Linked DNA regions of Coturnix japonica. The protein of the gene in region 1 purifies or fractionates together with the protein of each later gene. This does not show direct contact. Links are inferred from orthologs where the notes say so. Each region holds a gene or a part of one and is shown on either strand. Other genes may lie near its edges.

Region 1 (4,365 bases):
CAAAAAGATTGTAAGTAAAGAGCTGGTCACATTATAGTCTCATTTCTGTAGCCTGAGTTTGTTTAAAAAGGCCTCCAGGGTGCATAGTTTTATGACAGGGTGTGACTTTAATTACTACTTGTAACTTTGGAAGCTTTCCAGCACTACTGTACCATGCTGCCTCAGAGCACGATAGTTGTAGAGGGGAACTAGCATGAAAAGCCCTTCATGACTAGAATATATACACACTAACTGGTTCAACAGGGATTTGAGTGCAGTCAGAAGCTACACCTGACACGAACAGTCAGTGAAGTAACCTCCCATTTGCATCGCTTTTCTGGAAACCAGAGCACTTTTTATGCTCAAATCTGAATATAGAACAAAACTTAAAATCTGTATCCAAGCAGGAAACGCATAAAATTAATTCCCGGTCAGAAGAAAAAAAGACTGTGGAAAACCAGCCTTCTGTGCAGCTTTTTCTTATATTGCACCTTGCTCAGGTCTGCAACACAATGTGAGGGACAGTTCTTGCAGCGCTGTGCTCAGCTCTCCTTTCTTCTTCCATTTCCTATCACTGAACAAAAAAGGAGAAGGTCATTACTGAGCAAGAACTAAGACTAAAGGACCGACACATCCACTATTCCTCCCCTGCAGATTTAATTCTGACCACAGCTGCAGTCAATATCCTTCCCACCTGGTTTTACATCACACTTCAGCACTGATAGTTTTCTTTCCTTTAAACGATTTCTAAGGAGCAGAACATCTAAATGCAAAAGCTCATCTTTGCACAAACTAAGTTTTCCTTCTACACTCGTTATCAATGTCACAAAGCAACTACAGCTGAGCATCCCAGCAGCCCCCAACACGGCACCACTGATTCAAGGGATACAAAACCATACTCTGCCATGTAGCTTAGAAGCTACAAAGGACTTCAGGGCATCAATAAACCTCCTGTGAAGGTTATTAATGAAAGAGAGCAGCTGATGGCAGCGAACTGGTGGCTGTGGGCCGTGCCAGCCCACTCGCTCGGTGCCACCCGTGGATTTTACCTCAAAAATAAAATTAAATCAAATAATGAATTCCTATCAGAGCAGAGCAGGAAAATAACTCTGCAGCAGCAGTGATAACTCTGACTCTGACACATCTCAGCGTCTCCTGGCACACACAGACCACTACGGAACTACGGCTGGTACCGGCCCGGCCCGCCTGGATGCAGGGTCCCGGTTGGGCCTACACCGACAGTCCGCAGCCAACACGATCTAAAACACCCCGCTCCACCGAACCGGAACCAGCTCACATCCGCCATCCCTCCGCTTCCGGCGCGCTCCACTTCCGCTACCGGTGCGGCGGATCGCGGGTCGGTGCCGGTTCCGTTGCCAGGGTGAGGGGCCGCATCGCGCTGCCGCGGGTGGGGCTGGGGCTTCTGTATAACGGCTCTGCGGCCTCTATCGCCGTGAGGGGCCGGACCTGAAGGCTCCGTGCGCGGTAGCACCGGGCATTGCCGTGCTGGGGGTGCGAGGGGTGAGCGCGTCTCTCCTGGCCCCGCAACGTCCGCGGCACAGCGGGGCCTGCAGCCGCGAGGCCTCTGCGCTCCCCGTGTCACCGCCGGGACCGGCCTCAGCCGGGGATCCACGGCCGTTCTGAGCGCTCCGTCCCCGTTCCGTGCCGCTGCTCATCCCGCGGGTTGGGTTTGTCGTGCTCACGTTTTACGTTGCGGGGTGGAATACCCAGAAACATGGAGGTGTATCTCCCTCCCAGATCCAAGAACCACGCTTTATCTGCCCCAGTGCCCTTTTAACTTTAGGCTCTTGGTGGCCCTCGGGGCTCTGACAATGTCATCCATCTGACAATGACTAGAACAAACTTGGTTTCACTATCTTTCACTATCCCTTCTATACAACCCAGTCCATAGGAACTGAAAATCCCTGTGACTTTCTCTTTGGTCCTCATCTGTTCATTGAGTCACAGAATGGCTTGGGCTGGAAGAGACCTGAAAGATCATCTAGTTCCATCTCCCTGCCTGGAAACACTGATTCTATTGTCCACACCCAGTTCCATCAGTGTTTTGCACTGAATAAAGGTCATTCTGTTTGTTGTTTCTGATAACCTTCATCCTGAGATAACTGTACTTCTGCAAGGACTGGCAGCTGATGAGTGCTCTGCTTTATAGGGATCCTTTCAGTTTGAGGCCTGAGAAGTTTCCTTACTGCTTTTACTCAGTGCATTTGCTTGCAGAATGACTTCAGGCATGTGGTACAGTTGAGAAAGCAGGCCACAAACTCGTCTTTCTAAGCATAGAAATCTTGGTCTGAGGTTTATGGGCAGAGGTTATTTGTGATGAGCTAACACTGCTGATATGCAGCCTTAACCTCAGTTGATTCTCTTAATACTTCTAAGGCCATCTTTCACAGAATAATACTAATTCACAGGATAATACTATTCCCCGTCCAATTTGGGGATATTTGGAGATATTTTAAAATATAATAAAAATTGATTGTTCTAAAATGTATTCAGTTTGTTTTCAGGGATCTTAGAGGAGATAGTGAGGAAGAATGTTTTTTATTGTGCACAGCAGGCAGGTTGTATCTGATCCTCCATTTCTTATCTGATTTGAGCTTGGTGGGTATGTCTGAATAATTATTCAATTGTTCTTAACAAAGGATATTGTATAGGCAGGAATTACTTTGGATGAGAGCAGGTAACTGCTGAGAGCGATGCTGGAGAGGATGAGGAGTCAGACTTTTGAGTTCTGGCTTTTATTGGAATTGCCAGACCTGGATTGCCTGGTACAGTGCAATGCCTGGTACAGTTGAAGGTGGACACCCTCAGGTTTGGTTTTACTTTGTTTCTATGGCTCTTCTCCCTTTACTTTTTGGTCATCAATCTTTTAAGTGCGTTCTCACCATTAGTTGTGCAGAGGCCTTCTCTGGTTCTCTGACAGTTTGAAATGGCCTTTTCATACCCATTCCTTGATTCTCTGCTTCCAAACTTTGGCGGAAGAAAACATGTCTTTCCTTTCCCAGAAAGCTAGAAATCTTGCTTCTGTCTTTAGTGTGGGAATAAACCGTTGAATATAATTCACATAAATGATCTGGCGTAAATTAAAGGTAGTAATTACGATTATTTTGTCAGCACTGCAATGAAAGTGCAGTTCTTACAGTGTAATTGTACCGTGTAGGTGTGTATTTTGGCTTTGTTTTCAAACTGCTTTGATATTGCTACAGTGAGACGTGACCTGAGGTGTATTACTGCAGCTACTGCACAGATCTCAGTGAAAGTGAGTAGGGAAAGTGTTCGATCCACTTGAACTGTTGGTTCAGAACTGTTTTGGTTGGGTTTTTTTTGTGTATTTTAGGACTTGCTTACTTTCTGTTTAATAGCCACGTATGTTATGAGTGGTTTGATTGTGAAATTATTGCAGAGGACATTGAAATGACTTCTCTGATGCTGCAGTGCTCTGCTTGAATGCTGGCTGTGCTGCAAAAAGCTGTACCTGCACTGAACACACAGCAAGCGAGCATGTGCTACAGCAGACAGTGAGTGTGACACTGCTAAGTACATCAAAGTGGAACTCAAAGCCACAGCTGTAGTGCTGTTCTTTCTCCCTTAGTTTCACTATTGTATTAACATTTATCACCTGTGCATGCAAAACAAGCAGCTCACTGATGTACAACATCACAAAAATGTAAAAACAGACTATAATGTTTGTCTTCTGAAAAAAGAAATAACTACTCCTATTTCTTGCTTACATGATCATTGCATTTTTCTCCTCCAGCAGATTTTTCAGGAAATAACACTGAACATATGCTTCAAGGATGTCTCTCTCTCTCATAATAAAATGGGGAGGACAGGAGTATACGATAACCTCGCTATCAGAAGAGGACACTGTGTTGGATCTGAAGCAATCTCTTAAAGGCCTTACTGGAGTGTTACCAGAGCGCCAAAAATTACTTGGACTTAAGATGAAGGGTAATTATTTGTATTTATTATTTGTGAGATATTTAAGGAAGAGCATCCTCTTAGCTTAGTTAAGATGTGTGTATTAACAGAGCATCTACCTCCTAGATCTTGCTTTTGAATGAGCGCACACAGAGGGATCTGATACATCACTATGTAGTTCATTACTGATACATCTAAAGGGTCATTTTTAATGGCTGATGTGCAGCAGGTGTACCTTAAACATTTTTAATTCTTGTTAGTCAGACAAGTAGCATGTCTGTGATGGAGGATGACAATGCAGCTTGGAGTATTCTTGTGTTTTATGGGTAGCTAATTTCAGTTAAGCATGAAATATACTGACAGTTTACTAAAATCTCTCAGTTTGAAAAGAAAAATAAATGAACAAAAATGAACAATAAAAAAGCAAACAGAACTCTTATTGCTTTA
Region 2 (4,607 bases), on another chromosome or scaffold:
TGATAAGAAAAATAGAATCGGCGATAAGAAAACATTAATTTGTCAAATTCTTATTCAATCAGATCCGATGATAGCTACTGTCCTGTGTAATACTGCCTGCAGACAGCACTCGGAGTTTAACATACCACTCTAGGTATAACAAATATATAACATACCACTCTATTCTTTGTGTTTCACAGAGGAATGTTGTTCCTCTGAGCGGGCATCTGCTTCTTTTGCTCTCAGGCTGGGGAGGTTCGGTTTGCTGTGAGCTGACGTGACTTTGAGATCTGACAGTAGAATATGTTGACATTGCTACAACCGCTGTTCACATTTAATTAACAGCAACACTTCTGCAGGGTGCCCGCAGCCGCAGCTGTGCCGTGATCCCAACACACATCTCATAGACGTAGGTTGCTCTGNCCCTTTTCACATTTAATTAACAGCAACACTTCTGCAGGGTGCCCGCAGCCGCAGCTGTGCCGTGATCCCAACACACATCTCATAGACGTAGGTTGCTCTGAAAGTAGTGCCTCCTATTGCATGGAAACTGCAACAGATACAAAGAACACAAGAGCACTGGTGGAGCTACAGAACTTCTCCAGTTGTTTGGTTTTTCTGATAGAAGAGTTCTGTGCAGCCCCTGCAGTAAGTGCTGGTGCCCCATACTGGGGCTTTGGCTCTTGTTTCTGAAGTTCTCTTAGAAAGTGCATCCTTTGTACAAGTGAGCAAAGCAGAACCCCAACAAGCAGCCGGAAGAAATCATGGGTGGGACTTTTGTTCGCAAGTGAGGATGACTGATCTGACTAATTCAGCAGATTCAATTTGCATTACTGACAGAAAACACAGTTAGAAGCTGTATGAGCCCTACCTCCTGATAGCGCTGCAATGACGGGCTGATGGAGCAGAGTGTGCATCACAAAACTGAAGCTGCAGTTATTCAATAGAGGATGCGAACACAGCGAGATGCTTGTGCAGCATTAGATCACGGGGCTGCAGGAAACGACAGAGGGGGGATTACACTACAGCCCACAGCCAACAGATTAATACAGAGCCAGGACTTCACTGAGGAGCCTTTAAAATTAACATATCTTCTTCTTAATTCAGCATGGTGAAGCTCATGTCTCAGTGACTTCCCATTCTCCTACACCAACAGCAGCTCTCTCTACTCTCCCCTCTTTCTGCTTCCCTGAGCTGTCAGTCATTATGTGCACAGCTTTGCCAGGCAGCCTGTGCTGTCCAAGAATCCCTTACCCACACTCTAAGTAGTCACTGCAGTTTTTAGAAAGCACCCATATGTTCCTTTAGAAATACTACTGGGAAATAAGGGGACAGGGTTGTTTTCTGTATAAGGTTGTTTGTTGTATTCCTCTTTCTGTGGGAATTATTTCACTGTGTCTTCAGTTCATGGCTCACTGCATCCTGCAGAGCAGCTTTGGAACGAGCTCAGTGTATGTGAATGTGGCTGTAGTTAATGACGAAGCATTCAGCTTGTTCAGAACATCCTAAACCAGCAGTCCATCCGTGGGCTGGATCTGGGGTGATTCCTTCCCCAGAATCACAGGTGATTCACAGTCAGGTGCAGGATGGCCCGGCGCTGGCAGGACGGTCCATATCGGTTCCGTTCGGATGGCGGCACACAGCGGCGGGGCGCGACCCCCTGCGGCCGGCTGTGTTGGTGCCGGCTCGGCCGCCAGGTGCCGCCCGTCCCTCCCTCCCGCTGGCTGCTGCCGTCGCTCCGCAGTGACGCCACATCCTGGTTCCATCGTCGCGGCGGTTCCGGTGCGTTGCGGTGATGGTGAGCGGCGGGGCCGGCGGGGCTGGGGGCTGTGCGGGCTGTGCGGGCGGGGGGCGGCCGCCGCGGCGGTGGGAAGGGGGGGAGCGTGTGGGGACGGGTGTGAGCGCTCGGCGGTGCCCGGGGGACGATCCGGAGCCGCCGCTACCGACACGCGTTTTGCCGAGTCACCGCCCGAGGGATGTGGGGAGCGGCCGCGGAGTGTGCGGGGCTGTGATTAACGGGCCGTTGTGTTTGTTCCCATTTAGGGGCAAAGTCAGAGCGGCGGACACGGGCCCGGCGGCGGCAAGAAGGACGACAAGGTGCGGACATAGAGCGGCGGGCCGGGCCGGGCCGGCCTGGTGTTTTGTTTTCATTGCTCATATCCTGACTTTTTAATTAATTTTTTCCCTTGGAATTCTCTCTGCACATCAGGACAAGAAGAAGAAATATGAACCTCCAGTTCCAACCAGAGTGGGGAAGAAGAAGAAGAAGACGAAGGGACCAGATGCTGCCAGCAAACTGCCCCTGGGTAAGTGCTCGGCCTGCTGGGCCCTGCACAGCCCTGGCCCACCTGGCTGCAGGTGGAGCCCAAACCTAAAGCAGGAATTCTCCCAATGAACTAATGAATAGTTGATGGCGTGTCATACTTAGTCTGAAACGCTGTGGTTCTGCTTTGATTGCAGTGACTCCTCACACACAGTGCAGACTCAAACTGCTGAAGTTAGAGAGGATTAAAGATTACCTGCTAATGGAGGAGGAATTTATCAGAAATCAAGAACAAATGAAACCTTTGGAAGAGAAACAGGAGGTGAGTTTTGAGTGAGCTGCTAGTACTAAAATGACTGCTGGCGTGTAAACTGCTTCACACAAAGGCAGCATCACGACTGTGTAAGTGAACTTATTGCATTAAAATTTTACACTAAACATCAGTTGGTTTTCAGAAAGCAGGATTTTCTTCAAGCATTCTAATGCCTTTAGTTCAAACAGAGGTTATCACAGATGTGGCAGCAGCAATTTTTGGCTTCTTAGAAGTCTTAGCAAGTTCAGTAGAGGAAGGAAGAATATTCTTCTTGTGCCTAACCATGTAGTAATGTCCATAGAACTAAAACAGTCGGTTTTGTTACTGGCCTGTGGTTCTTTAGAATGTGCTGCCAGTGTTTGACTGTGCAGCACCTGATCTGAAGTTAACACGCAGACTCAGGACCAACCCAGCAGTGATGTTCCTACCTGTGCTCCTGAGTTGTTACTTGAATTCTTCTTGACAACAGGAGGAAAGATCAAAGGTGGACGATCTGAGGGGGACACCAATGTCAGTGGGTACCTTGGAGGAGATCATTGATGACAACCATGCCATCGTGTCCACGTCGGTGGGATCAGAACACTACGTCAGTATTCTGTCTTTTGTGGACAAGGATTTGCTAGAGCCGGGCTGCTCTGTTCTGCTAAACCATAAGGTGAGTCACGTGAAGTGAGATGAAAAGAAGCAGCACGAGGTCTGCTATTTTTAACTGGCATCTGTTCCAAGAGTCACATGATCACACGATCTCAGATTAATGCTGTTTATTCCGTACACTTCAACATGTGGGCATTGGGTTGAGGCTCGTTCTGGTGTTAATCGTGCTACTTGCTTTCTGACAACTCTTCATGCTTGAATTAGGTTCACGCTGTGATTGGAGTCCTGATGGATGACACAGATCCTTTAGTGACCGTGATGAAAGTTGAGAAAGCTCCTCAAGAGACGTATGCTGACATTGGTGGCCTTGACAACCAGATTCAGGAAATCAAGGTAATCGTGTGCTGACTTCCACTGCTAAGTGAGCTCTAAACTTGGCCATTATGACAGAAGTATGGAAGAGTAACAGCAGAGCCAGCTGCTGTTCACATGGTGGTGTTTTGCATCTTGCTCCTGCAGTTCTCAGTTCAGTTTCATTAGGCAGGCACCTGGACCTGGAAAAATGTTATAAGTTAGTAGCATCCCCATTCACAGACTGTGTGGCCAGAAACCTTTCACTCAGCTCTTTCACTTTGGATAGGCGTTCAGAGTCACAAATGTTCTTAAAGCATTCATCTGTGGTATCTGGTAGTTCATACTGGGAAGTGTCCTTTAACGAAGGGCCCTCCAAGTTTCTGGGGGGCTCCCGTAAACATTTGGGAGCCAGTCTGCAAACTTGGAGAGTTGTTGTGATGCCTGAGATGGAGGAAGGGGAACACTCACTGTTTCCATCTGTCACGTGGAAAAGAAGCAGTAGAAAGAGCTGCTTTAGGGTAGAATAGTTCTTACAATTTGAGGTATCCAAGATGCCTGTTTTTCAAGGCCTGTCTTCCAATTACTTTGTTTCTTTTTGCCTTTCTTACTTATATTAATGCAGTCCTTAGGAACTCCACAGGTATTTTGCAGTGTTCACTGCTCATGAAAACACTGGCTTGTTTTTCTCTTGATGCAGGAGTCTGTGGAGCTTCCCCTCACCCACCCTGAGTACTATGAAGAGATGGGTATAAAACCACCCAAAGGCGTCATTCTGTACGGCCCCCCTGGCACAGGTATCTGTGGCTTTGTGCTGAGCTAGCTCTAGTTAAGTAAATCATACTTGGTTACTGTTAAACCACTGCCAGGTCTGTCGCTGATCTCTGGCTTTTTTTTCCAGCCTGCAGACTAGTGACAATTATTTTTGTGATTAAAAACAGGTAAAACTTTACTGGCCAAAGCAGTAGCAAACCAAACGTCAGCAACCTTCCTGAGAGTTGTTGGTTCCGAGCTCATCCAGAAGTACTTGGGTGACGGCCCCAAGCTGGTGCGTGAGCTGTTCCGCGTGGCTGAAGAGCACGCGCCATCCATTGTCTTCATTGATGA

The links.
Region 2: the proteins of UBLCP1 (region 1) and PSMC1 purify together in Homo sapiens (affinity purification with mass spectrometry; 3 studies listed by BioGRID and IntAct, with this or other methods). This does not show direct contact. The link is inferred for Coturnix japonica from reciprocal best matches to the Homo sapiens genes UBLCP1 and PSMC1.

What each region holds. Positions count from the first base shown.
Region 1 is NC_029528.1:12,395,959-12,400,323, reverse strand, and holds the start of UBLCP1 (ubiquitin-like domain-containing CTD phosphatase 1), read left to right. Parts: upstream 1-1,286; 5' UTR 1,287-1,360; exon of another isoform or gene 1,361-1,553; intron 1,554-3,754; exon of another isoform or gene 3,755-3,757; 5' UTR 3,758-3,794; coding exon 3,795-3,948; intron 3,949-4,365. UniProt on the Homo sapiens protein: Dephosphorylates 26S nuclear proteasomes, thereby decreasing their proteolytic activity. Recruited to the 19S regulatory particle of the 26S proteasome through its interaction with 19S component PSMD2/RPN1.
Region 2 is NC_029520.1:39,735,584-39,740,190, forward strand, and holds the start of PSMC1 (26S proteasome regulatory subunit 4), read left to right. Parts: upstream 1-1,689; 5' UTR 1,690-1,774; coding exon 1,775-1,777; intron 1,778-2,022; coding exon 2,023-2,076; intron 2,077-2,188; coding exon 2,189-2,285; intron 2,286-2,439; coding exon 2,440-2,564; intron 2,565-3,024; coding exon 3,025-3,210; intron 3,211-3,413; coding exon 3,414-3,542; intron 3,543-4,200; coding exon 4,201-4,297; intron 4,298-4,441; coding exon 4,442-4,607.